Caenorhabditis elegans: one gene and its partners. The protein of the gene in region 1 interacts with the protein of each later gene in a biochemical or structural test. Each region holds a gene or a part of one and is shown in the gene's direction. Other genes may lie near its edges.

Region 1 (3,754 bases):
TTGTTTTTTTGTTGTATTTTTCGATTTTGGAACTCGCGCGCGTGGGAGTTTATTTTTATTTTCAGAATATAATAAGCTTTCATCACTCCCACTCCTAAAATACTCTTAAAATTCATATTTCTTTGTTGTTTCATTCAGATGTAAATTAGTGTTCTCCCCTTAAATTTTTTCCAATAATATTCACCTCATAAAAAGCAGGGACAATTCATTTTTTGCAATTGTCGCGAAGCCTCTTCGTTTTCGTTTTGGGATGTAAACAACTCTAGCATGTACTATCTCGCTCTGTCTGCGGCTCGACGCCGCGCCTGTTCCCTCTCTCCGTCCGGCGTCACCGATCATCCATTCCGCGAAGCAAAGCACGCGCGGCCTTTGATCGAAACGTGCACTTTTCCGTACTGCTGTATACTACTGGCAACACCGATATTCGTGCCCGATATCTAACTCAACCGGAGTCTGGCAACACAACCGTTTTTTTTTTCGTTTTCGAACGTTCCTGTTTAAAAAAAAACGTTTAAAAAAGCTTTTCAATGCTTTCAAAAATTAATTAGATAGAAAAACTTTGTTTTCTATTTTTTTTTTTTTTTGGAGATTTCATCAACAACCCACATACTTTCTCTTTTTCCTTCATCAAGTTGTTTGTATTCGTCTCAAGACCGTCAGTTCAAGACCCGGTCTAACCCTATCGGCGCCTCTGTTTGTTGCTTTTCCTTCTTATTTTCCGGTTTTTCTCGCGTTCACTTAATCAAAAAATCATGGCATTGAAACCACATTCGAAGATTTTCTAATTTTGTTACTGAAAAAAAATCTGAAAAAGTGTCTATTTTTCAAATATATTCCCAATTTAACAGTTAATTCGTTATTATTATGTCTCTAATATATCGTTCCGATCGATTAAATTTAGGCACGTTCCGTCTGCGTCTTTCCACGTATGTGCTCCAGTTCCGCTCCTTCTCCCATGGCGTAATCACCCCGCTTTTTTGTATGTTCGTATGCCAGTCGTGGTGCATAATAATCTGTTTCTCTTCGAAAGCTCAGACAAGAGGCAGTGGCCTAATCACTAACTGCGAAAAGTGTATCAAAACCTCTCCTCTTGTTTTTACGTGATGATAATCCGCGTGGTTCATCTCTTCCTTTCTCATTCTCCGTCTCTTAATGTTTTCTCACGATTAATTTTTTTTCGTTTATAGGGTTTCTAAAGTGGCTTATAATTCAAGAGAAATTCTAGAGAAATAATAATTAACATGATTTCCGTAAATTGAATGCCTAATAAGGTTGAGTTAAAAACCAATAATTAAAAATAAGTCGTTTTTGTATATTTATACAGCCGTAAAATGGTTCTCAGACTATTGAAAATTTATCAACTTCAACCAATATGGTCTTTTTTCGCTTGTATACTTCGGCTCTCATAGTATCCCTATTCAAAAATTGTTTGCCGTTAATTTGTTATTCTATTTCACGTTGTTTTGTTGATTTTTCGATAACAAAAGTGCTCGTACATCACAGGTAAACTTTCTGTTTGCATGTTATACAGTATCGATGTGTATAAAATGCCAGAGATCAAAAACTTGAAATTTATGATCAGTGGCATGGTGTTATCGTAGAAATAATCTTGTTTTCCAAGCGGGCAATTCCAGAAAACCGATATTTTCTTTCTTATTTTCCACTGGTTGTCCGTTCCCGTTATTTCTGCTTCTCCTATCTCTTCCTTGTTGGAAAACAAAAAACCACAGACGAACACTCAGAAAACGATATTCTGAAGCAGCAGCGTTACTCATGATGTTGTTGCTGGGCAGTGTCTGAAAATGTTTTCGTGTTCTTGTTTCCGCTGAAATAGGGTCACCACCTCTTTTTTCTCTAAACTCCTATGTCTCTCTCTTCAAATTCTGTCAATTTCCGTCCCTCTGCTTTGTTTGTCACAAAACTCTCTCGTGTGTTTTTTCGCTTTTCTTTTTTTTTATGTTTTCCTTCATTTTCGAATTAAAAGTGTTAAAACTGATTTTCTTAAAAACATAATGAATCTCGATCAAAAAATATTCTAATTTTCAGTCGAAGACGTTACTTCTCCCGAAAGGTTTACGACGGCGCCGGTGAAAGAATGTCGATGACAAGCTTGTCAACGAAGTCTCGAAGACAAGAAGATGTTGTCATTGAGGGATGGCTTCACAAGAAAGGAGAGCACATTCGAAACTGGAGACCAAGGTTTGATTTTTCTATCGGTACTGATCATATATTACCACTGATTCGATAATTTTTATGCTCGAAAAAGTTAGTTAATGATTTCACATCAAAATTTATCTTGAAAACTCCGATGAGTCTTGTTCTCGTTAATCTTTTTATTTTTGTTTTCTACATAAATTCATATATCCGCTTCATCATATACGTCAACTGATTTGTTTTTGCCGCGCACTCGCTCTTATCATGCTTTTCCGGCTGAAAAATCTTCATAAACGTTTTTATGAAGGGGGAATGATGTGACTTCCTGGTAGAGCAGATGATTCTATGTTTGCTACGCTACATAGTACAACTATTCGCTTCAGAATATAATTATTTTCAAACGACTGAAATTAACCGAAAATTAAAGATATCTATGAAATATTCACGATTGCTAAAAACGTATATCATTTTCCTAACAGACAGTACATTGAAAAATTGAATAATAGCAACACGGAAGTGAAACTGTTGTGATTACAGAAAACTCAAAAAATGAAAAACACGATTTTGTGCAGTATTTTTGGATGGTTTTTTTGTTTTTGAGTGTGCATGTCTTCTATCCATAAGTATGTCACCCTTCTCATTTAATGTTCCAAAATAATAAACACATGTGAACGGCGAGTGAGCGATGCGAAAAATAATCAAATTGAAAAAAGAGAGAATGAGTGAGTGCGGAAGTTGAGAGTGACTGAAAACATTTTAAAAAGAAACTCGTCAGAGTGACATAACAAAAAAAACAAAGATGATAAAAGATTGAAAGTTAATGACGTAGAATAATTTCAGATACTTCATGATATTCAATGATGGAGCCTTACTTGGATTTCGAGCAAAGCCTAAGGAAGGACAACCGTTTCCTGAGCCATTGAATGATTTTATGATCAAGGATGCAGCGGTAAGTAGAGATGAGCTTATTTTTCTAAACATCATTCTGCAAAATCATCTACTTTTGCAATATTTTATTTTCAGACAATGTTATTCGAAAAACCACGACCTAACATGTTCATGGTAAGATGCCTTCAGTGGACAACTGTCATTGAGCGAACATTCTATGCGGAGTCGGCAGAAGTTCGTCAGCGTTGGATTCATGCTATTGAGAGCATTTCAAAAAAATACAAAGGCACAAATGCAAATCCACAAGAGGAATTAATGGAAACCGTAAAAATTACACCTTGATCCAGCTTTTTTGAAAAATTCTTTTAGAATCAGCAGCCAAAAATTGATGAAGACAGTGAATTTGCTGGTGCAGCGCATGCAATTATGGGTCAACCATCTTCGGGACACGGTGATAATTGTTCAATTGACTTCAGAGCGTCTATGATTAGTATTGCTGACACCAGCGAAGCTGCTAAAAGAGACAAAATCGTAAGAAAACCTATCTGATAAAAACCTTTGCAAAAAAAATTACAGACAATGGAAGATTTCGATTTTCTCAAAGTGCTCGGTAAAGGAACATTCGGAAAAGTTATCTTGTGCAAGGAAAAGCGTACTCAAAAGCTTTATGCCATCAAAATTCTCAAAAAAGATGTAATCATTGCTCGCGAAG
Region 2 (3,754 bases), on another chromosome or scaffold:
CTTACTGATAATATCGACATTAAAGTTAACCCTTCAGGGTCCGTCAGCCTTAGAGGCACATTTTAAGGCATTTTAACTCTAGGCCTGTTAGGAAAGTCGAGGCTTGCTCCCAGGCGTCCGCGAACCCGATTTCTTGACAAAAATGCAGTTTTTTTTAAGGAAGGATAGGCACTGTGGACGCCACTGGCGGCCTTCTTAAATGCCGAGCCTCTATTATGGGTCACCCTGAAAACTTACCGAAACTCTGCAAAAACCGCGCGATGTTTTTCGTAAAACTCAAACAAAGTGAGGAAATCGTATTTAACGTACGATTATCTGTTGCGCACGGCCCCCAGTCACTAGAAGGACGTTGCGCAACCTGAATTCCTCGCGGGAGTACTTTACGGGTAACTAGGTATATTTTGAAACTTGCTAGTTAGCCTAAAAAACAGTGAGCGCCCCTTTTTTAAAAAGGTTTTTGAGAATCAGTACTCTGGCAATTCAACTTTTATCGAGATCGTATTTTCTCACTTCTTTACCCAAAAAAAGCAATACCTAGAATATAGCAATGGAGCCCATTTCATATGTGGGATTTCGAAAATTTCCGAACTTTCCTGTGAAAAATTAATATAGGTAACGGATTCAGCATGTCAAAAAACTAATGTAGATATTATTCCATTAGCCTACCTGAAAATTTGAGATATCAGTAGGAAACTATTGGAATAAATCCGGCTACAAAATATTTCAACATTTTTATTCTTTAGATAAGTTTCAAATTGGACTTGTATCTCGAAATGTATCCAACTAATCAATAAAATTCTCCACTCACGTTTTTTTCTTTTTCAAAATTCTCAGAACTAGAACATGCTCTAGCACTCTCACTGCACTTGCTTTCAATCAATTTTCAGAGCAGGTCTTGTCAGGTCACTAAGATTATTGATTTAAGTGGGGTTGCTCTTATGAAATATAGTATTGCTTTGAGTTGTAGTCTTATAGACTTTAATAGTTTTTTTTGCAAATTTTTGTATACATAATATTGATTAATGGACATTCTAGAATTAATTGACGTGTTTATTAGTTCAGTCACAATTTTTTTTGAAAACTTTAGCACATTTGGTGTATAGACCCAAATGCCAAATGCCAAATATTATGCACTTTTAAAGTTTGGGACACATTATAAGAGACGACACTCGTTCCTTACCCTTAACTTCATAAGCACCTATAACTCTGCACTGATTGTGAGTAAATTTATCAAAAAAATTGCACGTTTTAAACGTGAAGGTTAGCTTTTTGTTAGTTGACAATTTTTTGATAACACCTACCGCAAAGGAGTTATGCGCCTTTAAAGTATGGGACACAAAGTGAGTGAGCAGCGCTTCCTTCTTCACCCAATATTCTGTGAGTTGAGTTGTCAAAAAGTTGGCAACTAACAAAATGTTTAAAATTTTGAGATAAATAATGTGTAAGCACACAACTGCTTGATCACACTTACCGCTGCAAGAATGCTTTGAGAAAATTAACGAAATTTTCAAAATTTTGAATATCGTAAAATTATTTCATGTACTAAAAACTAGTTGTTTACCTTTTATGTTCATCCGGACTGTGCTTTAGAGTTGAAGCAAAAAGTTCAATTTATTGTCTTAACTCAACCCGTTTCCTTCCATCTTGCTCGGCGCCGCCTGAAGGTGTGTCTCATGGGGTGTGACTAATCCACGTCGTCAATTGCGAAAATATACGCTTTTTCACTTCCATTACTACACACACACACTTCCGCTAGCCAAATTGTGGGACCCAAAAAGTATGACATGATCCTTTAAAGCAGGTGGAAATTATTCCCGTGTTCTCAGAATTTCTTTCTCTCTCTCTGATTTTGTTCTGATCAAAATATAATTTTCTTATCTTCATATTCATACTCATTTATAGTATTATTCGAAAGTATAAAATTTGTTCTTCACCTCCAAATTTCATATAACTTTTGTATTACTAAGAAGGCGGAGTTGGCTCTCGCTGTCTATATTATCAATTTTTCACCAACTCTTTAATTTTCCAATTTTTTCAGAAACCAAACATGGGCGGTGGAAGTTCGCGAAACAAAACCGAACCACGTGGCGAGGGAGTCAAGCTCGCGTTTGACCCCGATGAGAAATGGTCGAACTTGTATAGAGAAAGGGAAAAGAATCACTTGTACAAGTGGGTCGCTGTCAGGAAAGGCAAGTCTTCTTAATAGAAACTGAAAGTTTGAGCATTTTGTTAGTTCTCTTATAGCGTTCGACGATAAAGAAGCCTGGGGTTGCCAATAACTTTTCAGCGGGTGGTGTTTTAAAAAATAATCAACTAACAAGTTATTTATTTTAAAATTTAAAAAATTTTGATAGTCGCCAATTTTTTGATAACTCAACTCACCACGGAGTTATGCGGTTTTAAAATGTTGGTAATGGAGGGAGTACTGCCAACACTTTGTGTACCATACTTTAAAGGCGCATAACTCCGTTGTGTTAGATTTTATCAAAAAAAAATGTGCGCTAACAAATTATTTATCTTGAAATTTCAAATATTTTGGTATCTGCCAATTTTTTGATAACTCAACTCACCGCGGAGTTATGAGCGTTTGAGAATTGGCTTATGGGAACAATGCTGAAGGTTCACAATGTGGCCCATACTTTAAAGGCGCATAGTTCCGTTGTAGTAGGTGGTATTAAGACGTGATCAACTAACACATTATAAGTTTTAACACCCTGAACATTTTACTAATTAATAAATTTCAAGTTTTTAACTTTACTCAGTGCTGAGCTTTGCACCTTTACCCAGATCTTTAACCATGACCCAGGATCCTGTGGTGAGGCGTAACTCTACAAACGAAAAACATAATTTTTATCTAACGAAATGCAAAAATCTGAAGATCTACGTATAGTTTTTTAAACATTCATTTCAGGCGGAGAATTGATCAACATTTACGAGCGAGATGGTGAGGAAGGCGTCCTAAAATTTGCAGAAGAGAAACTCCTCACAATTCTCTATGATGAGGGCCAGAATCCAAAACTTGTCACCTACAGTGATTATATCAAATGGAAGAAGGGAGTGGTATGTTCCCCCTATTAACTTCCACAGAAACTCTCAAACTTCTAAATCTTCCAGAACGTGCAACTCGGGCTCAGCGAAGAGTCCGTGGACATGCAGCAGAGCCGGTTCAAGGAGCATTACGCACTTTGGAAACTGAACAAGAGAGGTGTGGAAGGCGAAAATTTGATCCATCTTTTGTTGAACAGGTAAAAATTCAATAGAAAATAGAAAATTTTAATATGTGTACTTCTAGAGAACAGCAAGTTTGCTACGAAATTGCCAGGATTTTGCTCAAGCGGTTCCCTGGGATGGCTAATGACATTTATTTGGGGGATGAGCAATTTGGTAAGCGGCTTGTTTTGAAGCGGCCTGAAACATTGTGTTATCTTTAGGCCAATCAGCCCTCCACCTAGCCATTGTACACGATGACTACGAGACCGTAAGCCTGCTTCTGAATAGCAAGGCCGACGTGAATGCCCGCGCCTGTGGAAACTTCTTCCTACCCGAAGACTTTAAGCTTACTAATAAGATTACTGACTATCAAGGTTATGCCTATTACGGGGAGTACCCCCTAGCATTTGCCGCTTGTTTTGGAAACAAGGATATCTACGATTTGTTGATTCAATTCGGTGCCAACCCGAATCTCCAGGACTCTTTTGGAAATACTATTCTCCACATGTGTGTTATTAACTATAGTAGCGTAAGTTAAACTTTT
Region 3 (3,754 bases), on another chromosome or scaffold:
ATGCAGCAAAAGATTGTTTAGAAAGATTGAAAAGACTTAGCGCGTATAGTTTGATCTATTGGTGGGGGTGGAGTCAGTGCATCTAATTTTACGCGCAATTTTATTATGAAAAAAAAAAAAAAAGAAAAAAAAGAAAAAAAAATTTCTTTGAAAAGCAAAAAAATTGCCAAAAATTGGAGATTAGAAAACTTTTAAAAAAAATCGGCAACTCTATTACGGGAACACAAACTTGTGAGAATGCGTATTTCACAACATATTTGACGCGCAGAATGTCTCGTAGCGAAAACTTGACTACTCTAACGCTTATGTCGATTTACGTGCTCGATGTTCGAAATCCTTTGATTTAATAAAATTCATCTCGAAGATCGAGCCCGTAAATCGACACAAGCGCTACAGTAGTCATGTTTTCGCTACGAGATATTTTGCGCGTAAAATATGTTTTGCAATACGCATTCTAAAAACTTTGTGTTCCCGTAATAACCAAAGTGCTTCGAAGTTTTACGAGAAAAATCCAATTTTTTGGAACTATTGTTAACGACATGTTTAGAAAAAGGTGTTTCTTCAAAAAAAAAGAAGGAAAATTGACAGAATTTCAAGGAAATTTACAAAAAAAAATCGAATTTTAATTACATTTCTGCTATATTTATGAAAAAAATTCGTAAGAAACTGTTATTTTTCCTCAAAAAAAAAGAAAAAAAAAACCAAAATTAATATTATATACTTTTAGAAAAATATTTTTTTTTTCGAAAAAATATAATATATTCTCCAAAGTTTTTCCAGCTCAAAGAAATTTTCGCCTTTCTTTAATTAAAAAATTTGAATTTGAAACCTTCATATTTTCTGTACTTTTTCGTAAACTCCGGTGTTTGCACAGTGTAGATTTACGAACTCTGATTTTTTTTTCTTGAAATCATTTTTTTACCAAAATCTTCTCTCACGATTTCCTCTCTTTAAAAAACTCATGTTTTATTCCTAATAGTGAGTTCGTTTGGGGCGAGCTTGCTGCTTTTTCGCTTTATATCTTCTTTTTTTCGTTTCCCCTTTTTCTTTTCCGTCTCAAAGTTCATAAAACAGTTTTGCACTTTCTCGTAAACAACTCTCGCATGGGGTCGCTCAGAAGTTGATCTCTGAAACCTCTGTCGCCGGCCGCCAACCAACGAGAAAAAAAAGCATTCCCAATGTCCTCTTTTCTATTTTTTTTTTCTTCATATTATTTCTCAAGGAAAGACATATCGGTTTACTTTTCCATCATTTGACGAGAACATGTGATGGAAAAAATGGTGGAAAAGTGGGCAAAAATGGATTGTGATAAGAAACTTTTTTTTTGCAAAAAAATCTTCCTCTATACACATTTTATGTCAAAATAAGCTTCTTCTCTCTCTCTTTTTATCAGTTCGAGACGTCGGAAATGTTCATTTTTAGTTAAGATTTCAAAATTATCCAAAATAAAAACGTTTCATTTGAAATTAATTTCCTCATTGTAACTTCTATTCAATTTCTATCTGTATTTTAATGATGCAACTCGAGGTTTTTAACATTTTTTGCTTATAATTATGATTCTAAATTGAAAATCAAACTAAAATTTGCAGCAAAAGTCTTCATTACATTGCTCGAAGTGCCGAAATTTTCTGCAAAAATTCTCACAGGACATGCAAGCGTGGAACTGTCGTGAGGTATGGCGCCGCATACGCAAACACCTTGCACACACATCGAGAACTACCGTATACTCGCAGTTTAAATTTCAAATTTTCGAAATTTTTTTCCAATCATTTTTCCCTATTTTTCTTCATTTCGCTGCTAAAAATAGTTGTTTTGAACCCGATTTTGTGCGAAATCGTGGAAGTTTACACAGCTTTTACAGTTGAAAATCAAAAAAGCGCGCTTTTTTCGTCTAATTTGCCCAGTTTTCAGCTCGATTCGCCGCTACCATCTGACATCACACTGCACAATCTCGAACCGGCAAGGCCTGATTCCGGAATGAGTTTTTCCACTGATTTTGACGGTAAATTCGTGATTTAAAGTTGTAAATTCCAATTTTATTTGTTTTTTTTTCAGATGATTTCTTCAATCTCGACCTCCATCAACAAGAGCGTTCGGCTTCTTTTGGCGGAGTAACCCAGTATTCTCAACAATTTCTTCGCGAAAAATGCTCGTTCTCTCCGTATTTCCACACATCTTTAGAGACTGTTGACAGCGGAAGAACTAGGTACGCCAAATTTAAGATTTTTAGGTGGTTTGTGAAGGTTCATAAAAGTCGAATTGCACTAAAAGCATTGTTTCGTGGAAAAAGGACAAACGCTATAAAAGTTGATGATTTTTGCCCTTTTTATCAATTTTTGAAAGAGTTTTGGCTTGTGAACAAGCCTCGGTTTTAAAATTTCAAAATTTCAAAATTTTAAATGTTTAAATTAAAAAAGAACAAAAAAATATATAGAAATATATATATATATGCCGAATGGCCTTGAATTTTTCTCAATTTTAGGTCTCAGCTGACCTTTTACTGTTTCTGATTTTTCAATTCTTGTGGTCGTGTCGCGTCATCTTTTATCTGTCACATTCGCTCTGATTTTTGATCATCGAAATTTCTTTTTTTCGTTACTCTTCCAATTTCTCCATTTTATTTCCGATCGGTTGGCACAATCAAAAGTGATTTCTCTCATTGTTGCTGACCTCGAGATTTGTTTAAGGGAAAACCCTTTGATGTCATCACTGTTTTAGTTGTTTTTTGTTTCTAATCATTTAACACTTTTTCGTCTTTTATAGGCCAACAAGCCTATTGTCAGCTGTTGGTCCACTAAGCACACGGGAAATTCACGTGCATGTGAGGAGGAGAGGCAAATAGAATTTAAAGGGGTTTCCCCGATCTTTTGACTCTTTTCTCTCTTTTTTTTTCTCGCGGAGTTGCAGTTTGCAAACAACTGGTGATTAGGTTTTCTATTTTCTCTTTTCTCTTTTGATTGCTTGGAAATTAGATTTGATGCAAACTTTAATATCATGAGTTTCTGATTCAACTTTTTTAAAGACAGAAATCGTATTTTCGTTCTAAAAATAATTTCTCTCTACAGTAACCCCATTTCTTTTAAAAACCGTCGTCGCCCGTCTCAACAATTACTCACCATTGTGTGCAACATTGTATACGGTGTGACGTTCAGAGGTCGAAAACTGTCACGCGTTTGCTCCCTCACTGTATTGCCAGACAGAGTCTCTCTGTCTCTCTCTCTCTGTTCTGTCACATCAGCTGTTCTTCTCTCTACGGGAAGGAAGCACAAAATGGCAAACATTTGAAAGAAAGGGAGAGAGCAAGTGGTATTTGAGAACGGAAAAGTGCACTTTTTGCACACTGTTGTAGCGGGGTTTTTGATTAGAACAGACGATAGGTCGAAAATCAGAGAACAGAAACGAAGTACCTATTATGGTTCCATTTTAGAAAATTCAAATTTTCGAAATAAGGAGGTTTTTGGCAGAACTGGTAATTCCTGTATGATTTCAAATTTTTTGAATCAAAAATTAAAACAGAAATGTAGGAAAATCATATACCTTTATTAAAAAAGCTTGAAAAGTTTCAGGCAACGCCTGAAAGTCGCTTTTTTTATATTTGGAATTTTTAACTAACTCTACATCTTAAAATTAAGTGTTGATTCTAAATATGGGAATATCATATCGAAAATATTTTTTTTGGCGATCTTGTGCCCCCAAGCCAATTTTTTTTGAATTAAGAGTCTCTACAATATCGACCATTTTCACACAGTACGGT

Evidence for each region.
Region 2: of the proteins of akt-1 (region 1) and osm-9, one has a biochemical effect on the other in vitro, tested with the Caenorhabditis elegans proteins (one study listed by BioGRID).
Region 3: of the proteins of akt-1 (region 1) and daf-16, one has a biochemical effect on the other in vitro, tested with the Caenorhabditis elegans proteins (2 studies listed by BioGRID).

The regions. Positions count from the first base shown.
Region 1 is NC_003283.11:10,246,861-10,250,614, forward strand, and holds the start of akt-1 (Serine/threonine-protein kinase akt-1), read left to right. Parts: upstream 1-2,044; 5' UTR 2,045-2,095; coding exon 2,096-2,199; intron 2,200-2,994; coding exon 2,995-3,103; intron 3,104-3,177; coding exon 3,178-3,366; intron 3,367-3,411; coding exon 3,412-3,573; intron 3,574-3,618; coding exon 3,619-3,754. UniProt on the Caenorhabditis elegans protein: Acts downstream of PI3 kinase age-1 and kinase pdk-1 in the daf-2/insulin receptor-like transduction pathway.
Region 2 is NC_003282.8:3,555,725-3,559,478, reverse strand, and holds the start of osm-9 (Ion transport domain-containing protein), read left to right. Parts: upstream 1-2,047; coding exon 2,048-2,189; intron 2,190-2,911; coding exon 2,912-3,060; intron 3,061-3,114; coding exon 3,115-3,245; intron 3,246-3,292; coding exon 3,293-3,384; intron 3,385-3,431; coding exon 3,432-3,739; intron 3,740-3,754.
Region 3 is NC_003279.8:10,748,983-10,752,736, forward strand, and holds the start of daf-16 (Forkhead box protein O), read left to right. Parts: upstream 1-1,515; coding exon 1,516-1,527; intron 1,528-1,580; exon of another isoform or gene 1,581-1,589; coding exon 1,590-1,673; exon of another isoform or gene 1,674-1,723; intron 1,724-1,911; coding exon 1,912-2,002; intron 2,003-2,055; coding exon 2,056-2,206; intron 2,207-3,436; exon of another isoform or gene 3,437-3,575; intron 3,576-3,754. UniProt on the Caenorhabditis elegans protein: Forkhead-type transcription factor. Binds to the promoters of genes that contain the daf-16/FOXO binding element (DBE), TTGTTTAC, in their regulatory region.